3 linked regions of the Nothobranchius furzeri genome follow. The protein of the gene in region 3 purifies or fractionates together with the protein of the main gene of each other region. This does not show direct contact. Links are inferred from orthologs where the notes say so. Each region holds a gene or a part of one and is shown on either strand. Other genes may lie near its edges.

Evidence for each region.
Region 1: the proteins of synaptosomal-associated protein 23 (region 3) and vamp2 purify together in Homo sapiens (affinity purification with western blotting; 4 studies listed by BioGRID and IntAct, with this or other methods). This does not show direct contact. The link is inferred for Nothobranchius furzeri from reciprocal best matches to the Homo sapiens genes SNAP23 and VAMP2.
Region 2: the proteins of synaptosomal-associated protein 23 (region 3) and vamp3 purify together in Homo sapiens (affinity purification with western blotting; 6 studies listed by BioGRID and IntAct, with this or other methods). This does not show direct contact. The link is inferred for Nothobranchius furzeri from reciprocal best matches to the Homo sapiens genes SNAP23 and VAMP3.

Annotation. Positions count from the first base shown.
Region 1 is NC_091750.1:51,656,140-51,662,170, forward strand, and holds the start of vamp2 (vesicle-associated membrane protein 2), read right to left. Parts: upstream 3,965-6,031; 5' UTR 3,762-3,964; coding exon 3,760-3,761; intron 1-3,759. UniProt on the Homo sapiens protein: Involved in the targeting and/or fusion of transport vesicles to their target membrane. Major SNARE protein of synaptic vesicles which mediates fusion of synaptic vesicles to release neurotransmitters.
Region 2 is NC_091743.1:51,774,837-51,780,570, reverse strand, and holds the start of vamp3 (vesicle-associated membrane protein 3), read right to left. Parts: upstream 3,965-5,734; 5' UTR 3,850-3,964; coding exon 3,848-3,849; intron 1-3,847. UniProt on the Homo sapiens protein: SNARE involved in vesicular transport from the late endosomes to the trans-Golgi network.
Region 3 is NC_091758.1:23,396,992-23,402,689, forward strand, and holds the end of synaptosomal-associated protein 23, read left to right. Parts: coding exon 1-162; intron 163-2,378; coding exon 2,379-2,523; intron 2,524-3,816; coding exon 3,817-3,879; 3' UTR 3,880-3,893; downstream 3,894-5,698. UniProt on the Homo sapiens protein: Essential component of the high affinity receptor for the general membrane fusion machinery and an important regulator of transport vesicle docking and fusion.

The DNA of each region.
Region 1 (6,031 bases), on a different chromosome or scaffold from region 3:
GATGCTTTTATAAAGCTAATAACAGTCTTATCTGCACTTTTGTTGACTTAAAGCCATACTTAGCAACTTTTTCATTTATTTAAATAATTTTCTTGAGCCAGAATGTGCTAAATGACCCTTTTCAGGATTAACGAAATGTCACTCACACCCTACCATCCTCTGCAGCCAGAATATCGCACTTGCAACTTCAGAGTGGCAGGCTGCACCCTGGTGAGCTTAGTTAAGTGGAGCTGACATGCCTGGCACTGCAGTCTGCTACTAGCATGCTTTAGATTGTGAACACAGCTGATTTGTTTGATTCAGTGATGAATCGCTCCTGAACATAATGAAGGCTGAGGAGACATTTCATCATGTTAAAAAGATGAACGCACAGCAAGGAGATATGTTTTACTTTTGGTTTAACTAACTGGACAATAGGGGGTGCTAAAAGATAGCCAAAACTGCCAAGTTTCCCTATAACCCTCCCGCATTGTTAATGGGGTCAGATGGACATCTGGTGTATTTTGATTTTTAATTTTAATATTTTTAAGGGGTGCATCACTTCACCCCTGGCAAGGCATAAACGTTAAACCCTGCTTAGCCACCCCCTATCCTGGTGGGGTCACCTGATAGGAAAGTGGAAGGGTTAAGCTTGTTTTGTGTCTGATTTTGGTCAACAAGTGGACACATAATAGTCAAAAGACTGAGCTGTAAAAAGTGAACAAAACAAGTTTGTCTAAGTTGTATTTATCTAAAAGGTTCTTAGGTGAATTACAACATTTTGACCAAAAAAAAAAGTGCAACATTTTGCATCCAAAGCAGCACAAAAACCCAACAGACACAAAGGGAAATGTCTGATCACTTTTAAAAAATCTGTTACATCTTATTACCATCATTTTTTTAAAGGTTAGAAAATATATTGTTTTCTTTCGTGAAGCAAATGTCACTTTTATTGTTTAGCCTCACAATTTACTTTTATTAATTTAGTTCAATATTTAAAAAGTAGCATCTGTATAGCTGCTGTGCAATAAGCACCACAACAAAGGTGCAATGCGTGTAGAGGTTCTCGCTGTCATCGCCTCTCAGCTAACACCAGGCAGAACTGCTAATGCAGTGACAAGGCTTCTCATCAGTTTCCACATCCTGTAAAAACCACCTACTGTGTTCCATCCAGCCAGGTGCAGCTGTCTCTGATCTCTGCCACAAAGTCTTTGGTTTGTTAAAAGACGATAAACTCATTTGAGGCTTCCATGATTGTGATGAAAAGAAAGAAAACAGAACACCCATCTTAATTGTATTCTTTAAATTAAACAGAACAAAACAAAAACAGGACAAGAAAGAGGAAACCTTATCTGACAACGGCAGATAACGTGACCTACTGGGAAGGTGAGGTTTCACATGACTCCCTGTACAGTCTACTTCTGATGTAAGATTGGCTGTGAAAGCTAAAAATATTCAACCTTCTTTCAAGACAAAGCTGTAATTTATGTCCTTTGTCTGCCAAGAAAAGCAGGTGAATTTTTAAAAAGACAGAAAAGTTCACTAGGACCCCCACCCTTAACTTGTTCACTGAGGAGAAACATTGTCAATCTGCAAGTGTTAAAAATATAAAACTAACTCAGGTTTAGACATTTGTTCTTAAAGTGTTTTTGCATTTTTTTAATTTAAACTGCTTGATGCGTGATGTAGACTTAACCATATTTATTTAAAACGTATTAAATTCATACTATACAACTTGTTCATATTTTAAATCCCTTTATTGAGGCAGTATGTACTGAAATGACTCTTTACATGGTTAATTAAATGTCACTGAGACCCCACCACCCTCTGTCACCAAAATACCGCATTTACAGCTTCAGAGTGGCAGACTGGTTGGACTTAGTAAAGTGGAGCTGACATGCCTGGCCTTCAGTCTGCTTCCAGTATGCTTCCTTCATGTTTTAGATCGTGAACAAAGCTGATTTATTTCATTTAGTGATGAACCACTCCTGTAGAGCCTAATGAAGGCTGATGAGACATTTCAGCTGTTAGATTAAGGTGTTAAAAAGATGAACACGCAGCGAGGAGATAAGTTTCACCTTTGGTTTTACTAACAGACTCTAGGGGACACTCATAAATGTACCCAACATCCGATTTGTTGCCATGCTAATTATGATCATTTACAAGCTGATAAATCTCAAAGTACGTGATTGGCATGGTTGAATCATATCATTTATTTTTTCATTAAAATTGAAGTACAACATATTCCAGGGCGTAAGGCTAAATGGATCAGAAAATAGCTCTTTCAGCCCCGTTGACTTGTATTCATTTTGTCGTTCTTCTGGGGATCCATTAGCCAACTGGAAGGGGAGGAGACTTAGGCTCCCTATTTATGCTTTTTGATTATAACACACTGAAACATTACGGTAATTCACCCTAATAAGAACAAAATGTCTGTAATAATAATAATGAAATGTCGAATATTAATGTTATCACTGTATAACTCCCACCCTTGGAGAATATCTCTGTCGTTACTGGATTTCAGCACTGGACAGCGACATTTCAGCACTGGACAGTTCGTCAGCATCATTCTGTCTCATCCGACCCTCAGCCAGCCCGGTCCTGGTCGATGTTTCTTGACTTCACTAACATAACAGGTTCCACTTTAATGTCCTTTAAAACATGGTGGCTGACATGGAGCACAAACTGAGTCAGAATGAGGGTGTGGAGTCTCCTGCTAGCTGGTAGCTCACAGAGGAAGACGCCATGGACAGTAGAAACTAGTGTGCTAGCATCAGGCTGGTTAAACGTCATTGATGTGCAGGGAGACTGGTGGAAGGAGGTGTCACAGAAACCCTCACTTTAGCTTTAGTGTCTACTAAATGATCGAGTTAAAACATATGAAACACACAAAATGCCTTCAGAAATGTATTTAAAGGGGCTAGTTATACCAAAAGGTCATAGCCAGTCTGAAATTTGGACCCGACCGCCCTCTCGTGACAATCGACGACATACAGTAGGAGGCTAGGCTATCCCCACCCCCCGCTGTAGGGTGGAAATAGCACAAAAACTAGGCCTGAGCTAATATTACCATCAGTCACGTTTATTGACTATTAGTCGATAATTTCTCCGTTTGTTTGTTATTTTTTTATTTCAGGAGAAGGCTAGCAAATTAAAATGAAGCTCCAGTTCTGGTTTGTTGAGCACTGTGTCCTTGCTGTTTCTAAAATCCGCTTAATCGTCACCAGCTGGTCGGTCGGTGGCAATAAAAGCAAACACAAATAATAAAGTTCAAACATAGTTGATAGTTCATTCATTTTCTTATTGGACTTTTAATTCGCCTGCAATACATGTAATAAATGTGTGTGTCCGTGCGTGTGATATCTTTTTTCTTTTCAAACCAGTTCAAACTGGAAAAAATATATGCGCGTGCGTGCGTGCGCACTAGGAAAACGGACTGAAAAGAAGCAGGCGGTAAACACAGAGCGTTCTGTGTAAAATGGAAAATAAACAGACTGAATAAATAAATGAGATGGTGTTTTATAATCGAGATAAGAGCCGGTGCTTCTCTTTCTGCTCCTCCAAGGTTAGGCCGATGCGTTGGCCGCTATATTCAGGCTCAGAGAAAAACAAGCGACGCAAATAAAATAAAATACGGCGTTTAAGGATGATTTAGATCAAAGCTGGGAAATGTTAAGGCTGCGCGAAACAGAAGACAGCAGGAAATCCCCCAAACCACATAAAGCAGTTATCAGCTTATTTATTTATTTTTTAAATAAAGATTAAAATGTTGCTACTTACATTTTCCTGGTGTTATTAGCTAGACAGCTGCAGTGAAATCCGGACTGGAAAGGTGATCTGGTCCTAAGTGGCTGACAGATGGATGGATTCTGCGCTCCTCTCTAGCCTCTGGCAGCCTTTGGTTGGTTATTGTGGCGTTCCCTGTCTATATGTCCGAGGAGGAGCACTGGTTTGTCTCCTCGCTACAATAATTATTTTATTATTTGTTATTATCTATCCCTAATTCTATGGCGAAGCGTTACCTGCAGGCTATGTCCGGAGCCTGGGTCTGTGTGGTAATGAAGGGGTAATACACAGCCGCCTGGATTAGGTGGACAAAGACGGCTCGGTGACGTCAGCAGCGGTGAGCCTCATGTTAAAATGGGTGGCCATGCACTCCAAACCCACCGTTTTCCAGCCCGGAACACCGCTCTTGTATTCCCTATGCGCTGTTACTGGGAGAAAACGCGCTATTCTTGCACAGATGGGACATTTGATGGTCACGATTTCGTTTGAAGCTCCTAAAAAGGAGTTTTAATGTTGACTGCAAGACTGTGTCAACAAAATGGCTTCTTGGGAAGGAGGTGTGGCGAGGCTGTTATCATTCATAGTAAACACGATGTGGATGTGATGGGGAGCTGTTCCACCTGAGCAAATGAATGAGTGTCTTACTCATGGACAACACCTCATTTATTTATAAGCTGCTTTTTGTTATTCATCTAAGGGCTGTTTGCCCAAAGAGTTTTAAAGAGGGAGTTTAGATATTTAGAAGTGGATTTTTCTCAACAGTTTCAATATTATCTGTCCTATATACCTCTTTGAACAACCTCAGCTGGGAGAAAGAGAGATTTGTTACGACTACGCTGAGTAGCTAGCAGCTGGCAACAATAGAGCCAGTTCCAAAATGGGTGGATAAATAAAATAAAATAAAATAAAATAAAATAAAATAAAATAAATATCTTTTAAATATCTCTTCCGGCGCTCACAGGGAGCAGACCCTTCTGCCTTTTCCTCCCTTATCTGTGTTTTCCCAAGGCTCTTTTTGTCCCGTCTGCCTACAGAGCGCTTCTCTGCATTTCCTCTGCAATCACCTTTTTCAGCATTTTTCAACATGGACTTAATTAATTGGTCATTCAACGCAATTGATAAGATTTCTTCTACAATGAGGACGGAGGAGGGGGCTCACGCTTGTCCTCAGGGGACACATGCAGCGGGATATATGTTTGATTCCTGGAAAAAGTGGAATATCATCTGTCTCTCTCAGCTGTCCATTGAGGGCGTCGAAGATATGTGGATATTTGGCCTGATGATCATTGGATTTCTTCTGATTAGAGTGGGAGGATATCTGGCTTTCCGTAAAATTGGGATGACGGGAGCGATTGGAGGGCGACCCGCAACCATGGACGGCACCGTCCGTGTGGATACCTCACAGACTGGGACGTTGCTCGAGGTGAATCGCAAGCTGGACAATGTCTTAGCTGCGTTACCGGTGTTAGCGTGCAGGATTGATAACATCTCGGAAAGGGTCACCGGATGGTGTGGAGATGTTAAATCACTGAATTGGCTTCACTGGAGGACTTGAATGATCAATACAGACTTAAGGCAGAGAGGAAAAATTATCTCTGTCTGACCCAAACAAAGTTCTGTTATCGAATCTGACGCCATAAGCAGCCTTGGAGTTGCGTGCAAAACCTCCACGCTGGAAGGAATGCAGACAAATGCTGTGAATCTCTATCCACCCACCCCCCCACCTTCAGATTGTGGTCTCCACAGAGGTCATCAAGCTAAAGGACTCACTGCTCTCTGTGCTTCCCCATGACCTCCCTCCCACCTGCGGAGCCAGCTGGTTGAGCGCCACACAGGCAGCCCCCGCTGAGGAAACCAGGATCCCAGCCCCTCCCCCCTACCTACCGGGTCTCATGTTGTGAACTGTGACGTTTGTTGCTTACATGTCGGGTGTTTTTTTGCATTGGAGTGCTACACCCTGCTGGTGTAACCCTGCTAATGCCTTTTTTCTCCCTCCCTGAACTTCCCTCATGTATTCCCTTACTCATCTACAACGGAGCGCCGTTATGGCTGCTCCCATGGTGTGCCTGTATCTGTCTTGTCTATATGTGTGTGTGTAACCTTGGTCAGGTTGTACTATGGAGTCAAGTTCCTATGCTCTGAAAGGAGCGCTGGCAATAAAATTCATCTGATTCTGATTCTGATTAATCTTTAATCCTCCCACTGTCTTTATGGGTGACCCTGCAAGGAAAGTTGACCATTGAGCAGGATTGATGGTTTATCCCTT
Region 2 (5,734 bases), on a different chromosome or scaffold from region 3:
CACACTGTGCCAGCAAATCAGCATAATATTACTACAATGGTGTGTCTTATAAACACACCATGCTGGCATGGCGAAGCGAACATTTTGCAGTATTCATTGCACCTAAATACTGCGGTAAATGTCTGTCTCTAATAAACTGCGATTGTGCCATGGTGAAAAAGAGGGAGGTGTCATGGGGAGTTACTGCCGAGTTCCGGCCAGCAATTATATTAAAAAATGAAAGTAAAAACGGGCCGTAAGTTTCGCTTTTGTAAACAGAATCAGCTGAGATAATAATCTGGAGCAAATGCAGCGCTCATGAAGCTGGATGTCAGATCACCAGATGCGGCATGGGGACTTTGGAGGACAGACACCTTTAGAAGCGGCTTGTTAAAAAAACAAAGAGCACGGCTTCGATCGTAATAAAAAGCAAATTATGATCAAGATACACTTAAGTCCACGGCAGTGAAGGGACCACCCCCATACCCCCTTTATGACGCCATTACGTAATATTTTGTGAAAAGGATACAATTGCGCAACATTACCGCCATGGTCCGACCACTGATAAATGACCTAAGGCTCCCTGATGCCAGCTCAGCTTTGTGGCAAATTAACAGCATTGTTTTGTAAAACGGCTTTTGTCTGCTACCATGTGGGTGGTTTATCCATTAGAATTGGTCATTAATGACTGCCTTCAGCTGGAAACCTGTAAAATTTAACTATACTGTTCTTATTTCATCTACTCGTGAAGCCTACAGCTCTATGTGTGTTAACGAGGGCCGGGCAATAAATCGAAAATGTGTTGTGTGTATGTATTCATTGCAGGAAAAATATTAATTTAATACAACACTGATTGATACATAAATTATTCAAACACTTTGGGATTTAAACACCTTGTTCATTCAACACATTTGATTATATCAACCTATAAAGTTGTAAAGTCATTTATGATTCAAGGAAGGCAAACTGTATTCAGAGTAAAAGTGCAGAAAGTCTTGTTTTCTGCATGGACTACTTAAAAAGATAAGGAAAACACATTATGGCTACTTATTTGCTTGTATGTCGTAGATCCTTGCTTTTCTTGTTTGGAGGCTAGACAGATGTAATGCTTCCCTGGATGTGTGACACAGTTTGTGTCTGCAAATAAAAAGTTAATTTCTGTTCATTTGTGATGTAAATACTTGGCCTTTGGGTGCGTTACATCGTTATCGAAATTTCTGACTCTTATCGAAAACAATTTTCTCATGTCAATAAATTTGATAATAAGAAAAATGAAAAGATGTGTGTAGGTTGGCAATGCTCATGTCCCTTTAAGAAGCTGTATCACCTTGAGTCACGTAAAAATGTGACTCAATGTAATACATGGGACAGCCCCATCTAGTGGACAACTTTGTTTCTGCGCATAACTGTAGTTATCGTCCATTTATCGTTATCGAGGTGGAATCCTTAATATATCGTTATTAATTTTAGGCCCTATCGCCCAGTCCTAGTGTTAACCATGCTAACTGATTTTATTTCACCTCCATTTAGCTCTGTTTATTGATAATTAACAGATAAACACAACAGTGGTCAACGGGGAGGTGCTGGCTTCTTGCCCTCCAGCGAGGGGCTAGGGGCAGGGGTGTAGGTGCGTGATGTCATCCGTCACTGCATATTACACTTTGCAGATGTTACACTGCAATTATGCATTCTGTGGAAAGCCAGGTTAAACTGATGCAACAGGTAGCTTGCAGGACAGGAAATGAGGTTTAAGCCACGATGCAACCTAATAAAATCAATTCAATCCACGTCTCTTTCTGTGTATGAGTTTGCATCATCAGTCTCATTCTGGGACAATATTGTATGTGTGTTTTGATCAAATAAAAAAGCAAGTGTGCCATTCCTAGCTTTGAGCAGTGCACCTAAAATTTGGAGTGCGTGCTTGGGTGTTATTTTCAGATCACAGGTAATTAGGACCATTGCTGATAAACACGTGACCAATACAGTTACTTCTACATCAGAGTGTAAGCAGACATTTACGCCATCATTTACAAAACAAAGTTACGTGTAAAAGTCGAGCTCTTCAGCTTTATTGGTTTACTTCTAAAAACCATTTTAAGGGTTTAAAATATAAATCTAATCTTTAAACACTGCTAAATTCTTTATTTCTAAAATGAAATGAATGTGATATTTATCAGCAAATACAAACTTTTGCAATAGTCATGTGCTGCCCCACTTTGGTTTGAGACAGCACTGCACCATTAGTGCTATGCATCTGTGTGGTTTTCACTGCTTGTTGGTTTTTCATGCCCTTTAAGCTGCTTTAACCACAGGAGAGGAAACTTAAGGAACAAAAACAGATTTGTTGTTCACAACTTAATTCTGAATCTTTGAGTAACTGAGCTTCCCTTTCCTTTAGCCATTGCACATATTTACTGTTTATTAAAATTATGATCATGTTTCCAATTTGTGCACAAGCCCCTGCATCATTTTTATTAACACAATGTCAAAAATGTGAATTTAGAATAAATAAAACTAAGAATTACCACTTAAATCTATTATCTGTACAAAGTAATTGATTACTTTATTCACATAATCATTGTAGTTAAGAAAGATCTACATAAATTGGGTTATGGCATCAGAGAAGATATTTGTGGAAAAGCTCTCCTTGAAGCAGAAGTAAAATACAAAGACTCCTCCTTGTTAAAACAGCACTCAGAAAAGCATAGTAAAAAATCTGCAATGGCAGAAACTTATTTTGGACATCTGCAACTAGGCTTTATTTTCCAAACCGAGTTAGGCTTTATTTTCCAAACCGAGTTTTTAAAGTATCATTTAATCCCAGCCAGGTACTACATTTTTAGAAAGTTTATAATTTTGTTACTTCAAACCCACATTTTTCTTATTTTCTACTAAAAGCCTTACAGTAAAATCACGAGTGGTGTACATTGTTTCAGTTTAAAACTTCTACATGAATACAATGTTTCTAAAACAGAATAACTTTAGATAATAGCATTCATATAATATCAGTGTGCATGTGAATAAAAGGTTTAGACAGTAGTCACCAAAACTGTAGCATCAATCATCAAAAGATTAAATCAGAATGCTCTTATTTTATTAATATCACCTTATATATACACCAATAACAAAATATGTAAAAGCATTTTACAGTAAAATTTATCTTAAAATGGAGTTAGCATATGCAATTACTTATCATTCTATGTGTGTGTGCAAAATCTAAATCTAATCTATAAGAAAAGTCTCAACCTCTCCTGACTGACTCTAAATTAAACATCTTGATCTAATAGGAGACTAAATGTTGCAGTGTTAATGACAAATATAAAGAAACTGATGAGACTAACTTGTGACTTCTTTGGAAAATATGTAAGGGATCACCCCGTTTAAAGTTATTGTCACCATTACTTTCTGTTAATACACCTTCCACGTGAAGTAAAACAATTAAAATGTGTGATTTATTCATCTTGTCATTTCAAACACTCGAATTGGGTGCAAGTAGCTATCTTAGCAAGGCCAAACAAACGGAAAATCACTAGTTTCGGAAGGAAACTCTTCAGTAATAAGTTGCGCAGCTGTGGAGATTAGTCAAGCTTGTGGTATATATACTTGTTTCTTTTGGCGTCGGATTGATAAAAAAAGATACCACAATAAAGTTTTTGTTAAACGAAGTTAAAAGTATCAATGTAACGATGCTACAGCTAGCTTAGCTTACGTTTGAGGCCCAAGCTAAGTGCTAGCAGCACTTGTTGCATGCTAGTAAAAAAGTTTTGGGCGTTGTTTAATCACATCGTATTATACTATAAAACAAAGTAAACAGTTTTTTGGTTGAGCTGACTCAAAAGGCGTTGTGAATGAAACATAAAATACTTACATTTTGAAAAGATATTTTAATTTAGCGAAACCGCTGCTGTTGTTTTTGTTTGTAAAGTAGTCCGTAACAGCGAGTGCGGTCGTTAGTCGTGAAGCCTTCCGGGCTGTCGGGAATTGGAAAATCAAACATAAATGACGTCAGAGTCTTCTTGAAACAACTAAATCTGTTTCTGTCTTTTTATTCCTCAAACGTGATTAAATGTTACACCTATGATATGTGACCTAAACAATAAGTTTGGAAAACTGTTGTATAAATAAGGAACTTCAAGTTTTTTTATAACTTTTCATCAATGTTTTCCAATTTGATGAGCAAAATTCTTTAAAAATAAATTTAAAAAATAGCGTTTTTGAGCATTGAAGCTAATAAAAGCAAGAGTAATGTCCTAAATCTCTCTTATATATATATATATATATATATATATATATATATATATATATATATATATATATATATATATATATACTTTTGGTTTGTGTGCTTAGTAAAAATGAGAAGAGAACACAGCCGTGAACTCGTGGTCAACGTGTGACATGAAAACAAAGGCTACTGTGTTAAATTACAGTGTTCATTTGGATACAACTCATCTTTTAATGTAGAATTCATTTTGATCTGTGCAACTATAGTTACATAAAAAAGGAAAATAAAAATAGATGTCCAGGTTCGCTGGCTGCTGAAGGGTCATGTGATGTACTGATTTAAGAGGGAGTAAAGGAATTTATCAGGCTGTTGGTTATCAGAGTATCCATGAATGTGCGGGTTGTTGTTGTGTGTACTGTGCTGTGAAAATGTTTTGTCAGATTCTTTCTGTTTATGCTTTTTAATTACACTTAAATGTTAGTGATCAGCAAACTAATACCAACACAATACAAAGATGACCTGAGTAAATAAAAAATGCTGTTTTAAAATAACACATTAAAAAATTAAGGGATATGAACTAACCTAACTTAACCCTTCTCCTCTTGCTAAATCATGGATTAACTGTGACTAGCTTTTATTTGGAATGTTGAGTTACATTTGCCACACCCAGGTCTGATTACCACCATACATTTGGAAGCAAAGCTCTTCAGTAGAATGTCTGAAAACACAAGGTATGTGGAAAGATCTGAAAAAGCAATACATGTTCTAAAGAATTCAAGAACAAAAGAACTCAAAACAACCTCTATATGACTCCAATACTCACTTTGACTCCATGTGTTGGATAAAAACAGTATTGGATGCATGGAAAATGATTTTGTCTGGGTACCATCTGGTGTTTTTTAATTCAAACGAAGGTTCATTCCTTGTTCATATTTTGTTACTTTTCTGTGGCTCCGGCAGGGAAGTTCGACCTTGTATGTCTGCAGTTCTGTTATCACAAAAAGCTCCCTAGTGAAGTCCAGACGGAGCGTTTCTCTGTTATACCAAGAACCTGGGAAAGTTTGCTTTCTGTGAAGGAGGGATGTGTGTTTTCCTTTAATGTGTGTGCTATGTTACTTTTGAATAAAACCTTTTTGCGAGCTTCTGCTCGTCGAGAGACCGAACAGACATCCCATTGGTGTGTATCTCCTTTCTCTCCGAGTTTGCAGTCTGGTTGTTGATTATTGGTGATTGATCATATTGGTAAATGGTAATCTAATATCCCTAACCCCCTTGTGTGTGTTGGACTTTCTTTGAGGTACGCCTGGACTGATTAAATGTAAATACCCAACACCATGATTCAACAATAAAACATGGACAAGGGGACAAACTCACCTCCACAATAGCATTCAGTGGTCAAAACCCTTAGCCTGGCAAGCAATCCCATAAATAAAATAAAATAAAATGAAATCTTTTGCTACTGCTATGGTTTGTCTAGATTTCAGCGCTACAAAACCCTTGCTCACCATTAACAAAGACATGCATTTCTTG
Region 3 (5,698 bases):
CATCGAGAATGAATCTCGTTACAAGCGCACGTGGGGAACTGGATCGGAGGGGGGTGGCGACGGCAACAACTCAAATGTGGTCTCGAGGCAGCCCTCGGCTGTTCGCAATGGCCAGACTGTCCAGGTGCAAGCCTCGGCCCCGTCTGGTCCGTACATCAACAGGTCAGGTTCCTTTGTGTTCCTAAGAGTTCTGTTGGGTGGGGCAACAAACATTTTTGGCAGGCACTGATTGTGTAAGTTGTCCCACCTAAAAAGATGAGAGGTCTGTAATTTACATCACAGGTAAACATCAACTGTGAGAGACGGAATGTAAAAAAAAAAATAAAATTAAGCAGGATCAGTCCTCCTGTCCTCTTTGCAGAAGAGCACCCCCAAAGCATGATGCTTCCATCCCCATGCTTGGGTATGGTGCTCTTGGGTACAACTCAGCATTCTTCCCCCTCTAAACATGGCAAGTGGCGTTTATACCAGAGTTCTATTATGGTCTCATTTGACCACAATCCTCTTCTGGATCATCTCTGCCAAACTTCTGACGGGCCTGGACATGTACTGGCATAAGCAGGTGGACCTTTTGAGCACGGCAGAATTTTAAATCTGTGATGACAAAGTGTATTACTTATGGTAACCTTTGTTACTCTATCTGCTTCCTCTTCAGCACATCCTGAGCTCCTTCAAAGGAATCTCCTACCATCTTTATGCAGAAGACATCCAACTGTACATCTCCTTTAAGCCCCATGAGACATCTCAGCTGCAGATGTTACACACCTGCTTAGACTCTATCAAAACCTGGATGGCTGGGAGCTTTCTTCAGCTGAATGAAGATGAGACTGAGATCCTCATCTGTGCCCCAGACAAGCTGGTTCCCAAAGTCAGAGACTCTCTTGGTCAGCTTACTTCTCACACCAAACCTTCTGTCAGGAATCTTGGCGTGACCTTTGACCCAGCTCTCATCCTGGATTCTCATGTCAGTTCTCTTGTTGCTCTTCCTTCTTCCATCTCAGGAACGTTGCTAAGCTGAGTCCCATTCTGTCTCGCTCTGAACTTGAGACAGTTATCCACACCTTCATCTCCTCACGCTTAGACTACTGTAACTCTCTTTTCACGTGTCTGAGCAGAACCTCCCTGAACCGTCTACAGGTGGTTCAGAATGCCTGTGCTCGGCTTCTGACCAAGTCCTCCAAACACACCCACATCACCCCGCTTCTCCTCCAGCTTCACTGGCTGCCAGTCAACTTCAGGGTTCATTTCAAGATCCTGGTTCTGGTCTATAGGGCCTTACATGGACAAGCACCATCTTACATTGGTGATCTTCTTAGTCCCTACACCTCCAGCAGGTCCCTGAGGTCCAGTGATCAAAGCCTACTGGTTGTGCAGCACCAGGCTAAAGACCAAAGGTGACAGATCATTTGCTGCTGTGGCCCCCAGACTCTGGAACTCTCTCCCCCTGAGCCTGAGATCAGTGGACTCAGTGGTCTCCTTTAAAAAGCAGCTGAAGACTCACTTGTTCAAGCTGGCTTTTGTATGACCTTCTTCACCACTCTCTTTATTCTGCTCTCCCCACCTATTCCACCTTCCTCAGGATCCACTGATTTCCCTCTTTCCTATGCATTTTCTCTTTAACATTTTTTTAATCACAATTGTCAATTTTTTGCTCATTATAAATAAATTTTCAATCATTTTCTCAATAATTTTTCATTTAATTTCAATTCCACAATTGTTTTTGTGAAGCGCCTCGTGATCTTCATCTTGAGAGGCGCTATAGAAAAGATATTTTCTTCTTTCTTCTTCTACTGTGGTTCCAGGTCTCTTCAGGTCATTGACCAGTGTGCCCCCCCCCCCCCCCCTCCCCTTTCCAGGTTCAGGGAGATTGTATTTTTTCCCTCATTTTTTAAAAATTGTAGCAAAAGCTGATCCCTTCTCACCAAGCAGCTCGCTTATTGTAGGTTGTCTCGTCCCCGTCTTGCGCAGGTGTGTAATGTTGTCCTGGGTGTCGTTAGACGGCTCTGTGGTCTTGGCCATGGTGGAGGTTGGAGTCTGAATGTTTGAAGGTGTGGGCAGGTGTCTTTTATACAGAGAATGGGTTTAAACAGGAGCCATAAGTTGAGGATAGAAGAGGTTCTGTAAGGGACAGAATTCCTTGTTGCTTATTTTCTGCACCATTACAGCAGTAAAAGTCATACAGTGTGATTTATGTTTATATTCTGTCTCACAGCTGAAATGTAAATGACATTATGATGACAATTACAGATCTCTTTCATCTCTTAAGGGGGACATCTTGCACAACCAGTGGTTGCCAGATCCATTTGTGCCCTTCTGACGGTGAGATTGTGACGTTCCTGTTGGATTCTTAGGTGTTAAACTTCATGTCTGATGTGCAGGATAACCAACGACGCTCGAGAGGATGAGATGGAGGAAAACCTGAACACGGTCGGCAGCATCGTCAGCAACCTGAAGGACTTGGCAACAAATATGGGCAACGAAATCGACAAGCAGAACGTGCACATCGACAACATCACTGAGAAGGTGAGAGCATTTTTAAAATTTTAAATAGGCACAATAGTAATAACGTAAAATGTTATTATTGTTGGTGAATTCTTCTGTTCATCATTTTACTCCTTTGGAAAACAAACAAGGAGTTAACACCTGCTGTAAAATGACACTAAACACAGCAGTTGTTTCACATCAGCGCTGTAGAGTGAATGAAAGGTGCATCATCACAGGAGAGTCCCCAGTGGTCCCAGAAGAACCCCACTGTGGTCTAATACCAACCTCCATCTGTGCTGAGGCACGATGCTGGAAGCATCACATTACAAACAGTTTGGGGGGGGGTGACGACAAACCATCAGGACAACTCTGGACCAACTTCAGGACGTGTCTCTGCCTGTCCTGCAGTGGCTCAGCCAAAGCCAACACTTTAATCCCTAAATCCCGCCAGTGTGCTGATTCCTGAGGACGGCGGTTCGGAGTAGCTCTCCATCCAGCCTCTGGGATTTTAGGATTATTTGCCTGGAAGTATGAGATGAACCGGCCAAACGCGGAAGCTGGATCAGGACTTTTCCAGGAGACTTCTTGCTTAAGGTGTTCAGTCGGAACACTTTAAAGAAATGGCAATTTTATCTAAATTTGAACAACACAATGAAATGTGGAGGAGAATCGTTCCAGACTTTTGCTTTTCTGATGTTTGTAAATTCACATATTGAGATAGTTGGTCATCTGATTATTTCATTAGATCAGCAACCTTCCTCTGTTTATGTTTATGTATTTAGCAGACGCTTTTGTCCAAAGCGACTTACAAGTGATAATCGGCGTGTTGCCCTTGAGGCTAATAACAACAATTACAACAACAACAACCAATTTCCAGTCAGTCGTAGGTGGCAGTGAGGCAGCATGATGAATCATGGAGAGGAGGGAACAAGGAGTGGACAGTAGAGAGGGGGACGGGTGCAGGGAGGGTGCTAGTTTAGAAGATGCTCTCTGAAGAGCAGGGTCTTCAGGAGTTTCTTGAAAATCGAAAAGGAAGCCCCTGTTCTGGTAGTGCTTGGTAGGTCATTCCACATTTGTGGAACGATGCATGAGAAGAGTCTGGATTGTCCTGAGCGTGGTGTAGGCACTGCTAGCCGACGATCCTGTGATGACCGGAGCGGCTGGGCCGAGACGTAAGCCCCGACTCTGTGCTGCTTGATTTCAGGAAAACATGCAGATCCGTGTTAAGATGTGCGTTTGTGCAGAGAAAAGCTTTTGAAAAGTTATTTAAATGTGTTTGCAGATTCCTACAACATGACAGTTTGTTTACATCTTCTGTTTTCTCTCCTTTAGGCCGAGTTGAACAAAATACGCATTGACGTAGCGAACGACAGAGCCAACAAGCTCATCAAATAAACACAGAATCCTGCTCCTGCCTGTTTCCTCATCACGTCCTGTTGCTACGTACATGCACATTGTACACTTCTGCACATGCACACACACCTTTTCACTGTTTAATGAGCTGGGTCCTGGAGACGGCGGCGGCTGCATTGTGTCGGTGACAACCAAAGAGGGAGCGACTGAGCGCCCAGCACAGAGTACACACCAGGCCTGTGACTACATATCACATGATATTCACAAAGTCAGCTGTTTTCTTATTCCTGTCTGTCTGTCTGTGTGTGTGTGTGTGTGTGTGTGTGTGTGTGTGTGTGTGTGTGTGTGTGTGTGTGTGTGTGTGTGTGTGTGTGTGTGTGTGTGTGTGTGTGTGTGTGTGTGTGTGTGTGTGTGTGTGGCTACTGAGATGCTCTCATCACAGCTAGTTTCTAAAGAAATCCAAACACACAAACCCGATTAGTTATCCCGCTCACTTCCTCCTTTTGTTCCATCGTTAAATGTATGGTTGTTGTTTTGAGTTCATATTTAATTATTCATGAATTAAGCTGTTTTTTATAACTATTCACTCGTCGTTTCTGCTACTTTAGATGTAATCAATATTTCAAAAAGTCATCCTAAATGCCGTGCTTTTGGAGTGAGTTGTGGCAGATCTTTTTTATGCTGGAATTCTAATCTGATAGAAACAAGATGTGTTTTTTGTTGTTGTTTGTTTTTTTTAAGCTTCAGACTGATGGGAAGTCGAGGTTTGACCTGCTGATGCACGAAGCCTTACAATCTCTTGTTTCTTTTGCTTCAAATGTGACAGAAGGTTCTGGTTTACTTTCTATCAACACGATAAACACAGCAGGGCTTTAACCGTTGTCTTACTCAATGTAAAGTCTCATCAGGTTGTTTTCTCTCTGCAGTGTTGATGTAAATATGAAATATTCTCTAAGTGTGTATTAAACATCGGCAGTCGCTCTTGTTAATCCACTTTCATCTCTTTGTTACATCTGAGTTAATCGAGATTAATAGCTCCCTAGTGGAGATTTAACGGCTCCTATATAAATCGGGTTACAAGTGGAAAATTAATATTTGTTAAACTTATGAAAACAAATGTTTTCTTGTATCATTTGTCATATTTGCATCTCACCTAGACATCGTCTTTTTGCCAAATGCTGCAGCTTTCTGAGGATTTAGGAGCTATTTCATTAAAATGTCCTTTGTTTCTGCTTTGCAACTTACAAGGTTGTGTTGTAACAGCCGTTCGATCACAGAAATGCCTTAATCTGTTTTTACTACAGTGAAATAATCACTAAGTGGTAAAACAGCGTAATTTAAATTAGTCAGGGTTGTCGTCGGGCTGAGGGATTACTGCTGGCAGCAAGATGTACAAATAAAGTCGGTGTGGAAGTGAAATTTGTTTTCAGGATAAACGCGGGAGCTGAGGAGGGTCTGTTAAAGGTCTCACTGGGTAGAACTGGATGATGAGTAATATTCCTCTTGGCTTATTTGTTTTGAAACCAGGGAGTTGTTTGTCTGCGCGGCTGCAGGCGCACACCTATTGAGTTTGTAACAATTGAAATGAACTGCTATCCAGGGCTTTGTCGTGCTACAAGTGATCATCTTCAGCCTGTTAAGAGCGAGCTGAGATCTAATTAGCCTGAAGCCGCCTCGCTGTCATCTGTGATTCTTTTTCCACCAGACAGCTGGATGTTAACAACCTTTTTACCGGAGAACCGTCTTTTTCTCATGCATGCCTCTGTCGACTCGTCTGTAACCAATAAATGTATCCTGAATTAAAAGTTTCATTTGTTTTTCTTACTGGCAAATAAACCAGACCCGTTTCTCTTTTAAACTT